Bombyx mori: one gene and its partners. The main gene of each other region encodes a partner of the protein of the gene in region 3 in a complex. Links are inferred from orthologs where the notes say so. Each region holds a gene or a part of one and is shown on either strand. Other genes may lie near its edges.

The links.
Region 1: U4/U6 small nuclear ribonucleoprotein Prp31 (region 3) and U6 snRNA-associated Sm-like protein LSm4 share a complex: the UniProt entries of both Homo sapiens proteins name them as parts of the U4/U6-U5 tri-snRNP complex. The link is inferred for Bombyx mori from reciprocal best matches to the Homo sapiens genes PRPF31 and LSM4.
Region 2: U4/U6 small nuclear ribonucleoprotein Prp31 (region 3) and U6 snRNA-associated Sm-like protein LSm8 share a complex: the UniProt entries of both Homo sapiens proteins name them as parts of the U4/U6-U5 tri-snRNP complex. The link is inferred for Bombyx mori from reciprocal best matches to the Homo sapiens genes PRPF31 and LSM8.

The regions. Positions count from the first base shown.
Region 1 is NC_085117.1:3,991,999-3,994,809, forward strand, and holds U6 snRNA-associated Sm-like protein LSm4, read left to right. Parts: upstream 1-1,469; 5' UTR 1,470-1,836; coding exon 1,837-2,256; 3' UTR 2,257-2,295; downstream 2,296-2,811. Other genes in the region: guanine nucleotide-binding protein-like 1, read right to left, coding at 59-152. UniProt on the Homo sapiens protein: Plays a role in pre-mRNA splicing as component of the U4/U6-U5 tri-snRNP complex that is involved in spliceosome assembly, and as component of the precatalytic spliceosome (spliceosome B complex).
Region 2 is NC_085112.1:10,370,675-10,373,110, reverse strand, and holds U6 snRNA-associated Sm-like protein LSm8, read right to left. Parts: upstream 945-2,436; 5' UTR 836-944; coding exon 545-835; 3' UTR 517-544; downstream 1-516. UniProt on the Homo sapiens protein: Plays a role in pre-mRNA splicing as component of the U4/U6-U5 tri-snRNP complex that is involved in spliceosome assembly, and as component of the precatalytic spliceosome (spliceosome B complex).
Region 3 is NC_085116.1:12,784,365-12,788,755, forward strand, and holds the start of U4/U6 small nuclear ribonucleoprotein Prp31, read right to left. Parts: upstream 2,915-4,391; 5' UTR 2,792-2,914; exon of another isoform or gene 2,572-2,791; 5' UTR 2,560-2,571; coding exon 2,365-2,559; intron 2,292-2,364; coding exon 2,156-2,291; intron 1,981-2,155; coding exon 1,776-1,980; intron 1,442-1,775; coding exon 1,299-1,441; intron 473-1,298; coding exon 288-472; intron 1-287. Other genes in the region: probable nuclear transport factor 2, read left to right, coding at 4,379-4,391. UniProt on the Homo sapiens protein: Involved in pre-mRNA splicing as component of the spliceosome. Required for the assembly of the U4/U5/U6 tri-snRNP complex, one of the building blocks of the spliceosome.

The sequences.
Region 1 (2,811 bases), on a different chromosome or scaffold from region 3:
GCGGTAGTAGCTAATTCAATTTTGTATAAATTCAGGACGAATATGTGATAATACGTACTAGGCATGAGTAAAACCTTGTTCTGCTTCTTAGACTGCAGTTGTTGTTTTTTGGCCTTCCCGCTGAACGGGGTCTTCCGACGTGCTTGGGGCATGACGAGTAACTCTGTTAATTATGGACAATGTTATTATGAAGTAAACATCTTTACAACTGTTGAACTGCAAGTACAGTTTTAATATTTTTCTGGGTATTTTAATTATTTTATTGAATATCACGTCATAGTATTTTACCATTATACTTTTTCTCGCTCTGATGACCAGATTTGAAGATACAAAAGTAACGCTTACAGGTGTAAGTGTAAACTCAAAAAATGTAGGTACTGGGTAATGTATTATTTATCAAATATACTAAACTAATTGATCGTAATAAGCGATTAAGAATCTGATTTTCAAAAACCGTAACCGATTTTTAACCGTAATTAAATCAAGAATTAATAAACTTAACTAATTAATAAAGAGAAAAACTAAAATTTGGAACACGAGGTCTCCTTGGAATATTATAATTGTACAGAAATAGTTTCAAACTTACGTTAGACTCAAAACAAGAAATCTATTCCTAATTTCTCACTGAAGGGCTTGAACTTATTATCTTTTTACCTATTTAATTGATTTTCGTGTGAATATGAAAATTATTCTACCGACCGGCTAACAATTGAAAACATTTTTTTTCACAGGATTGACAATTGACAGCTGACCGACAAATTAAAGGCATTGAACTCTGTTTTTTTTTTCAAATTTAGGATATTTTCTAAGGGATTTTATGACCTAGTAACTAAAACTTTTAGGTCAAATCTTATTTTAATTTATTTAATTCTTATTTTTACGAAAAATGATAATATAGAGTGAAATGAAATGAAGATGAAATGAAGTGAGATGAAATTAAATGAAATGAGATGAGATGATGTAGGATGAAATATAATCTCAGTAAAATGGTGGACATTTACTAAGACTTTTCAATTGGCTCTTTGGACGATCCCAACAAGCTACGTCTAGCGGATTTGTTTCAATTTCCCACACTTGTGCACTTTCACAGATATTATACAGTTAAACCTGAAGAAACAATAAATAGACAAAATAAAACAAATCACACAACTTCACTCCCCGCGTTCCCGCCAAAAAGTAAAAATTTATGATAATTTTGACAGCTCACAGTAAGGATGCTAAAGTCATTGACTTTGGATTATCGAACATAGATTTATTCTCATGGAACTAGAAATTGATAGTTGCATGGACAGTAAGCTGTATGGTCAAATTAAAACAAAAAAAGTTACATTACATTTAACTATTAAGTTCAGCAACAAAACCCTTCAACACCAGTTTCGATACGTTCTTTTTTTTCATCATTTATCCTATTGAATGCAATTTTTGTAGACGGGTTCACCTTTAGAATAAATTGAAACCAGGAATGAGATTTCTAATTATTTATTACTAATACAATGGTGTGCAACGTAAATTGTTTTATTATTATTCATCATCATCACAAGATTCACTACTACTAGAACTGTCCCTTAACTCTCCAGTTGGACTCGTCTACTTGTAAATTCTTGTTCACAAACTTCATTACATTACCATTGAAGCAATTTTCACTTCTTCTCAAATATTAAGTGTATTATCTGTGCGTCTTCTGACAACTGAGCACTGTCAGTGTCAACCTAAAGTCCTAAAGTAACCTAAAAAAACAAGAAGTTGACAATACACCAAACAACGCGAAAGTAGGAAAATAAACTTCTAATACAAATAAATAATAAACTTCAAAACGAAGTTGATCATTACATCAAAATGTTGCCGCTATCTTTGTTACGGACAGCGCAGAACCACCCTATGCTTGTCGAATTGAAAAATGGCGAAACTTACAATGGTCATCTCGTAAGCTGCGATAATTGGATGAACATTAATTTACGTGAAGTTATTTGCACGTCGAGAGACGGCGACAAGTTCTGGAGGATGCCGGAATGTTATATACGTGGTAGTACGATCAAATACTTGAGAATACCGGACGAGGTCATCGACATGGTGAAGGAGGAGACACAGGTTAAAGCGCGCGGTCGTAACGAGGTTTCCAAGGGACGCGGGCAAAACATGAGGACCGGTGGCCGTGGTGGTAGCCGAGGCGCATTCGGTAACCGCGGCAGAGCACCTCCACTAGCCCGTGGCGGCGGGAACCCGCGACCACAGAACAAAAATAAAAATAAAATGTAAGATAAGTTTTTTAATAAATTAAGTTATTTGGCTAAGGAATAGTTTTGTTTCATTTAAAGTTCAAAATTCCTCCATACATGCTGGTGCAAAGCAACCATATATTTGACCAAATCCAAGATTATTTATTAGTCATAATCCTGATGTAGAATTCATTGAAAATCAATAATATCTAAATAATTTGGAAACTGCAGATGCACAGGTAGTTATGAATTCATCAATCCATTAATATAAAATATTTAAGCTACCCATATCTCTGTTAAATCTAAAATGGGATACAACTTTATTATTTCTTGATATTTTAAGAAAATACATTTTTTTGTTTTATATCTTTAATTGGTTTTCACACTATTCAATTCGTGTCAATATATAAAAAAAATCAAAGTATACTGAAATCATTTATTTACAAAAAACGCTTAAAGTAATAATACTATTGTATAATATGGCAATACCCATTAATGAAATGGTAAAAAACAGAGTAAAAAAAAACAGTGTAAAAGCAATATTTTAATGATGATCCTTGAAACTTGATACAGATAGAGTTATCACATTTGAATA
Region 2 (2,436 bases), on a different chromosome or scaffold from region 3:
GATTAAAAGAAATGCTATTATGCTTATTCTAAAACGGTTATTTATATGCCAGTTACTAGAGCACAAACACATTAAAAAAATTGTGTTGGTAACAGGCTAACTGAGCTGATTGTGATGAGACCCATTAGCAAATGAGAAATAAGGTTCTTTTAGTACCTATGAATATTTTTGATTCCTGTGAATATATTATACAGGGATTTAATGTATTTGAACCTTCATGTGTATTTTGTGAAAGAGTAAAACATATAACCCTTAATTTGGTAGTTTACAATAGGCATCATAAGTAACTTCCTAAGGATTATGTTCAAAGAAATGAACATATATCCAGGGTGTTGTCTATTCTAACAGGTATTACAGGGCATGCTATCACAAATCCTATTCAGAGAATGGAAAACCCAAGCCAGGGCTAAGATTAATTTTTATGGGTGAAAATATGTATTCTGCTTTGCGAATTAGTAAATCAAGACAAGAGACGAATACAAAATATGATATTTATTTGCCCAAATGAAACACCGATTGATAACAAAACATTTATTAACTAGTTCTAATGTACCATTGGTCCAAGTGGTTCTGCCTTGATGTTTCCGAGGTCTAATCTGCTATCAATTGACTCGTCTATTTGCCCGACTATTGCCACATTGTCTCCTCTGATTATGTGAAGTCCAAGTACTACTTGAGCGACGCCACTTGTGGAGGAAAACACTCTTTCGTGAGATTCGTCTAAAATAATATTTATTGTTTGGTCAAAGCCCTTAAGGGTGCCAATAAAATTACGTCCATCCGAAGTTATTACCGACACTGTTTGATTCACGTAATTTTCGAGTCCAGAAGCCATTCTAATTATTTTATTTATAAATTCAAATTAGTAATAATCAACATCAAACAACTATAAGAAATTTTCAAATTTCAGGGAGCTGCCACAGATTATTATTTGAAATGTGTACCTACACAGATTAGTATAATAGCTACTACAATTACTATTACTACCTACATGATTACTACATAATAAATAATAGTTTAAAAAAATAAAAAACACGCTTTATCTAAAATTCAACTAAAAAAATAGAAAATAAATTTTAATAAATTTAAATTGAATATAGTGTAAAATATATTTTATTGTAAAAAAAGCATGGGGTGCATGGTGTTATTAGTTATAAATATTTTTCTGACAGATATGAGTAGAAGAATTATTATTTCAATAATATCTTAAAAAGCACCCCACTCTTTTTTTTAAATAAAATATATTTTACACTATTTTCAATTTAAATTTATTAAAATTTATTTTAATTTTTTAGTTGAATTTTATATAAAGTGTCTTTTTTAGTTTTTTAAACTATTATGTATTTTAAATTTTCTTTAAAAGCGTATTTTTAAAACTATTAAGTACATTAACATCAATTCCTGCCTTATCGAGTATAGATAAAAATTATATAAATTGACCAAAATCTTATTTTATAAATTGAATAATGGAATAATCTTATCAAATTAGTATTTTTTTATCGGTCCTCGATAAATCTACAAAGTTTGAATGAATTCTGGCCGTTTAAAGTGGGTCAAAATCGCGTCTAAAGGAGTCAGTTGCAAACATACATACAAGTGAAGTTAATATAAAGCGTGTAAATTGGGTAGAAAAGATCTGACGGATCATATATTCACAAATTATTATGATACACCAGCAGCCAGGGAACCGGGGTAAATTACCTAAAATGAAATTTTGGGGCGTAAAAATGAAACTTTTGTGAGTAAAAAGTATATATTGAAGTGAAGCTTCTTTAGAATCGTTGTGATTTCAAATTCGATGAAACGAAATTAAACGAAACGAAAAATAAGTCCATAGAGACACAAACACATAAATATATAGGATTCAGCCGGCGAGAGAATGAGATAGAACACATTATTTGGAAACACAAAGTTCACGTGATTGACCCAGGTATTTTATTGTAGGCATCGTGTGAATTATAAAATAACAAGAAATTATCAATTACTTATATTCTCTGTGGGGGTGATTTTTTTTCCTCAACTGTATATTACAGATATTACTATTATTACCGTTATGTATTACTATGTATTACATTGATAAATTGAATAAATGATGCTTAAATTAAATTTTTAGTTTTTTCTTTTGAAAATTATCATCGGGGCTATAATATGAAAGATACTAAAAAGAAGCGATTTCATATTTTTTTTGTTCTTCGCCATGGGGTAATTACCCAACCAACCAACTTAAAAAAATATATTTTGGGGTAATAATTAAAAAAGTTCCCCGACCGCTGTGATACACTGTGCAACATATTACCGAGTAATGCTTCTCTACAATATTGTGGACAACAAGTCACAAGACACAAGCAATAACTTATTTTTCGCAATACTTACTATTAATAGTATGAATATATGGCAAGTGTCGAGTTACGACATTGATAATTAGGTACTAATGTT
Region 3 (4,391 bases):
TTTCTTCAGTTTAGTAAAATTGAATTGGCTAAACTCTTTAAATACGCTCCCTATGCACTTTCAATATAATAGAGTTGTAGCCAGAAACATGGCTGTTTCAAAAACCTTATTCGCTTATAGTGATCACATCTTTAAGAATTCAACTGAAATACTGCAGGAGTAGAAAATGTTTAAGTCTGAGTAAAACGGCTAAAATACATTTCGGTACCAAAAACTTCAATATACCATTGTCATACTTAAAAAAATATGTTTTCATATTATATTATCATCATATTCAAATTACTCACAGGTGTTGTATCTTGTACAATTTGTGAAAAATAAATGAACCCAGTATGAGGTAGAGCTGTTGCTTGCGAGAAGCCTGACAGTGTCTTCTTCTGTTGCCCGAGAGGTAACACATTACACGCTGGCATCTTTGATAATTTAGACAATCCACCGGCCACACCAAGGATTTTTGCTGCTGTTGATGCTCCTGAAATACATAGTTTTGATAGAAATTCGCAGGTGGTACAACATATTGTAAGCCCGCATGGGTAGTTTTCATTGTCTTTGGATATTTGTGCCATGAAGCAGTTAAGTTCTGGCTTGGATGGTGTGATGGGTTATAAAATATAACTAAGAGCTTGTGGTGCCATTGTGCTTACTATGGGCTTCGATAACCACTTATCACCAGGATAATTCTGAACTCATTCACACATACCCTTCAATTAGAAAAAGTATTCATTTAATATGCTCACATTCATTTAAGAAATATTCTATTGTAGTTGATTAACAACTACCAATATATCAATATGGTTAAATATTTTGTCGCGAGGGGGATTAGTTAAATTATTTTAATGTCTAGACCATTGGAGGGTGGCTTGTTAAACGTAGAACCCGAGCACTCTCAACAAATTTTTGGATATAGTTTTAGTATAAATAAGGCCATCCAATGATGGACAAGAACAGAGTGCAAACTACCAGACAGGTCAGACCTCCTGAGCATTGTAAAAAGGGAATAAATTGCTACAGAAAAAACATCTCGTTCTAACAACAGATCGTTTCTCTACTTTGCCAAGCAAATGTTATTTTAAAAGGGTTACAATTTAGAGTTCTGATGCACTTACAATCTGCCAGGCTCAAAAAATGCAGAAAGAGGCATTTGGTCCTTCTAATACTCTGCTATTTTGGAAATTATATGATGAGGGGAATAATTGCAGTTGGCTAAGGGTGATTGCACAATTGTTACCACTAATCGTTTTGGGAGTGTTAAATAGAATTTATATTAGTAATTATAGGCAACAGAATGTATCACTTACCAACAATGGCAGTTATGTTTGGTGCAATAAAAGTCATTCTACTTTCAACATACTCATATATTTGCGATTTGAAATTGTTCAGCTCACTTGCCATATCACAGGCCTCATTGATTTCTTCTAGTTCAATTTGGCTTAGTAATTTCCTGTCAAATGATTGAGTTGTTTAATAAGTAACTATTTTACACAAAATGTTCATCAAAATAAATCTTCAAAGTCCCTGTTTTGTACTCTAGTCCACTATAATAATTTAAATGAATTTGAAATGTTGCATTTCTACATTTTTATTTACATTTATTCTTTCTTCTTCCTAGTCGTACAGTCTTAACAGAGTGGTTGTGGTCATGTATCAGTCGAATTCTGCGATACCAATGCTCTCGCGTTGCAATGACATGTGGCACGATGTTTCTCAGAGTGAGTGCATTGATTTATATTAGCAAACAAAATAGACCACAAATAGAAAACAAATAAGAAGCTAACCCTTGAGTTGTAGATGCAGTAACAGAAACAATCATAATAGTGGCCTGAGTAAGAAAACTCTGTAATATTTCATTATTCTTAGCCCTGTCCAAATCATTGCCAAGTTCTTTCACTGTCCTTATGTATTCCAATGGAGTGATGATTAGAGATTCCAATTCAGGAAACCGTTTCTGATATTTGTCACGGACAAATCTGTGAATAATAGCTGAAAATTTGCATTTCTTGACTTTAATATTGTAAGCAGTAATAATTAGACAACCAAGATAATAATTTCATGAAAAGAGAACTATTAACACTACGTTCAATCATAAAAGTTCAATTCTCTGAAACTGTTTTAATAAACAAATCAACACATGAAAAATGGAGATTGGAATGCATACCTATTTCACCATCAATTTCAACAGCAACATTATTTGCTTCCACAATCAGTTGATACTCAGGGTCAGACTCCATTAAGCCAGCAACTTCAACCTTATTTCTGTTATTTCCAGCATTACATTCTATTTCACTCATAACCTAAAAGTTGTTTACATGAAAAATTGTAATTTATATTTAAACTGTTCTTCAAGAAACTTTATTAAATACATACACGTTTCAGACGATCAGAATATCTTAGTTTCGCGAGTTCTCTTATCGAGACATTCTTGATTTCTTCTTCTTTAGGTAAGACGGGATATGGAACTGCAAAGTCGTATTCTTCTTTGGTTTTGCTCTCGATAGCAGCTTCGAGTTCACCATCGTCATTTTCTTCTAAATCAGCAAGTAATTCGTCAGCTAGAGACATGCTTCTGTAGAACTAAATTGATTTTCTGAGTGTTAAGTTTATGTGTGAGCTTGTTCTGTTTCTATTGTATTCTGTAATATTCTACAATTATTACAGTTTTTTACTCAAATCGACTTTCACAGCTATACAGTATATTTCATTTAGTATACATTATAGATATTAATTTGATTTTTTAGTCAGCGATGTCATTAAACTTCAATAGTTTGTACCCAAAACTAAATGATTTACCTACCTATGTACCTACGGCGACTAATATTTGCAATAGTTAATTTGAAAAGTAAACAGAAATGACAGTGACAGTACGGTACTTGACAGTAGTAAGTAGTACCGTACCTACCTAGTATGTAGTAATTCCATTTTTCCAAGTATAAAGACGAAGGTATCATACGATATGTTTATTCATAAATTATAGATTCTCTTTCATGGAAATGATATGAAGCTAAATGAATTTAAGTTGATTAACTGGAGATATTCATTAATAGAGATGAAATTAAATGAAATAAGATGAGATGATATGGGATAAAATATAATCTCAGTAAAATAGTGGTTAGATATTTATTAAGACTTTTCAGTGAACTTTTCAGTAGATCCCGAGAAGCTGCGCCCAGCAGTTTTATTTCATTTTCCCACATTTGTGCATATTCATAAATACTAAATAGTTCATAATTAACCACCGTTATTACACATTTAAACCTAAAGAAATACTAAATAGACAAATTAAAACAATTCACACAACTTCGCTCTTCGCGTTCCCGCCAAAAGGTCTCACAGGACGGTGACTTTTGATTGTTTTTTACAATTTAAAAAATACTGAAAGCTGTAATGAAATAGTCTTGGTTTTTTTTTTAAGAATTGAATCAAATTTATGAAGATTTGGAGAAATCGCAACATAAACAAAAAACTAAGATAAAGCTCATGAGAACCCTTATCTTCTCCATACTCTCGTACGCTTCTGAGACGTGGACCCTCAAGGCCCGTATCCGATTGAAAATTGACGCATTTGAAATGTGATGTTGGCGCAAAATGTTGGTCGTATCATGGACGGAGCGCCGAACAAATGTATCAATTCTCTCGGAGCTAAACGTCAAGACCTGTCTATCTACGATCTGTATGCAGCATCTCCTCAAGTACTTCGGACACGTGACCTGACGAAATCTTGACAAATTGGAAAAAATAATAATTGTAGGTCACGTGGAAGGAAAGAGAGCTCGAGGAAGATTGCCAACCAGATGGACGGACATTGCCAAGGAAGCCACAAACACCAGCGTTCCGGGTGCCATTCAGCAGGCCAAATGCAGGCAGCATTGTAGGAAACTAGTGCAATTAGACCAAGGTGGTCACGACTCATGATCCACAGTAATGAGGAAGCGACGAAGAAGAAGAAATGTACTTTTAATCTGAAGAATTACGTGGATCAAGTTTGACTTATTTTCTAATAACAATTGAAAAATATATTACAGGATTTTCCTAAAAAGTACGTCAGAGCATTAGATTTTAATACTTTTAATCCATAATAGTGGAAACAGCTCAGCTTTAGTAGAAAATAGTAGTGTTGTATGATCTTATACCTCTTAGACACTACATTCAGAATCATTAAAAAAAAATATGTCATAACTGTCAACAAGCAGAATAAATTTTCAAGCCCCTTTTCGTCAGTTCGTCACATCTTGAATTTTTCGGCTGGAATTGGGCTTTTTGTTGGTGGTGTGTAGACGCCTAATATTTAAATAAAGTTAAGTGAACACCTTCCTATTCAATTTTTTAGTATATTCAAAGATATCAATCTTTTACAGTGACAAATAGACACATCTTAATCTAAATGGCGCTCAATC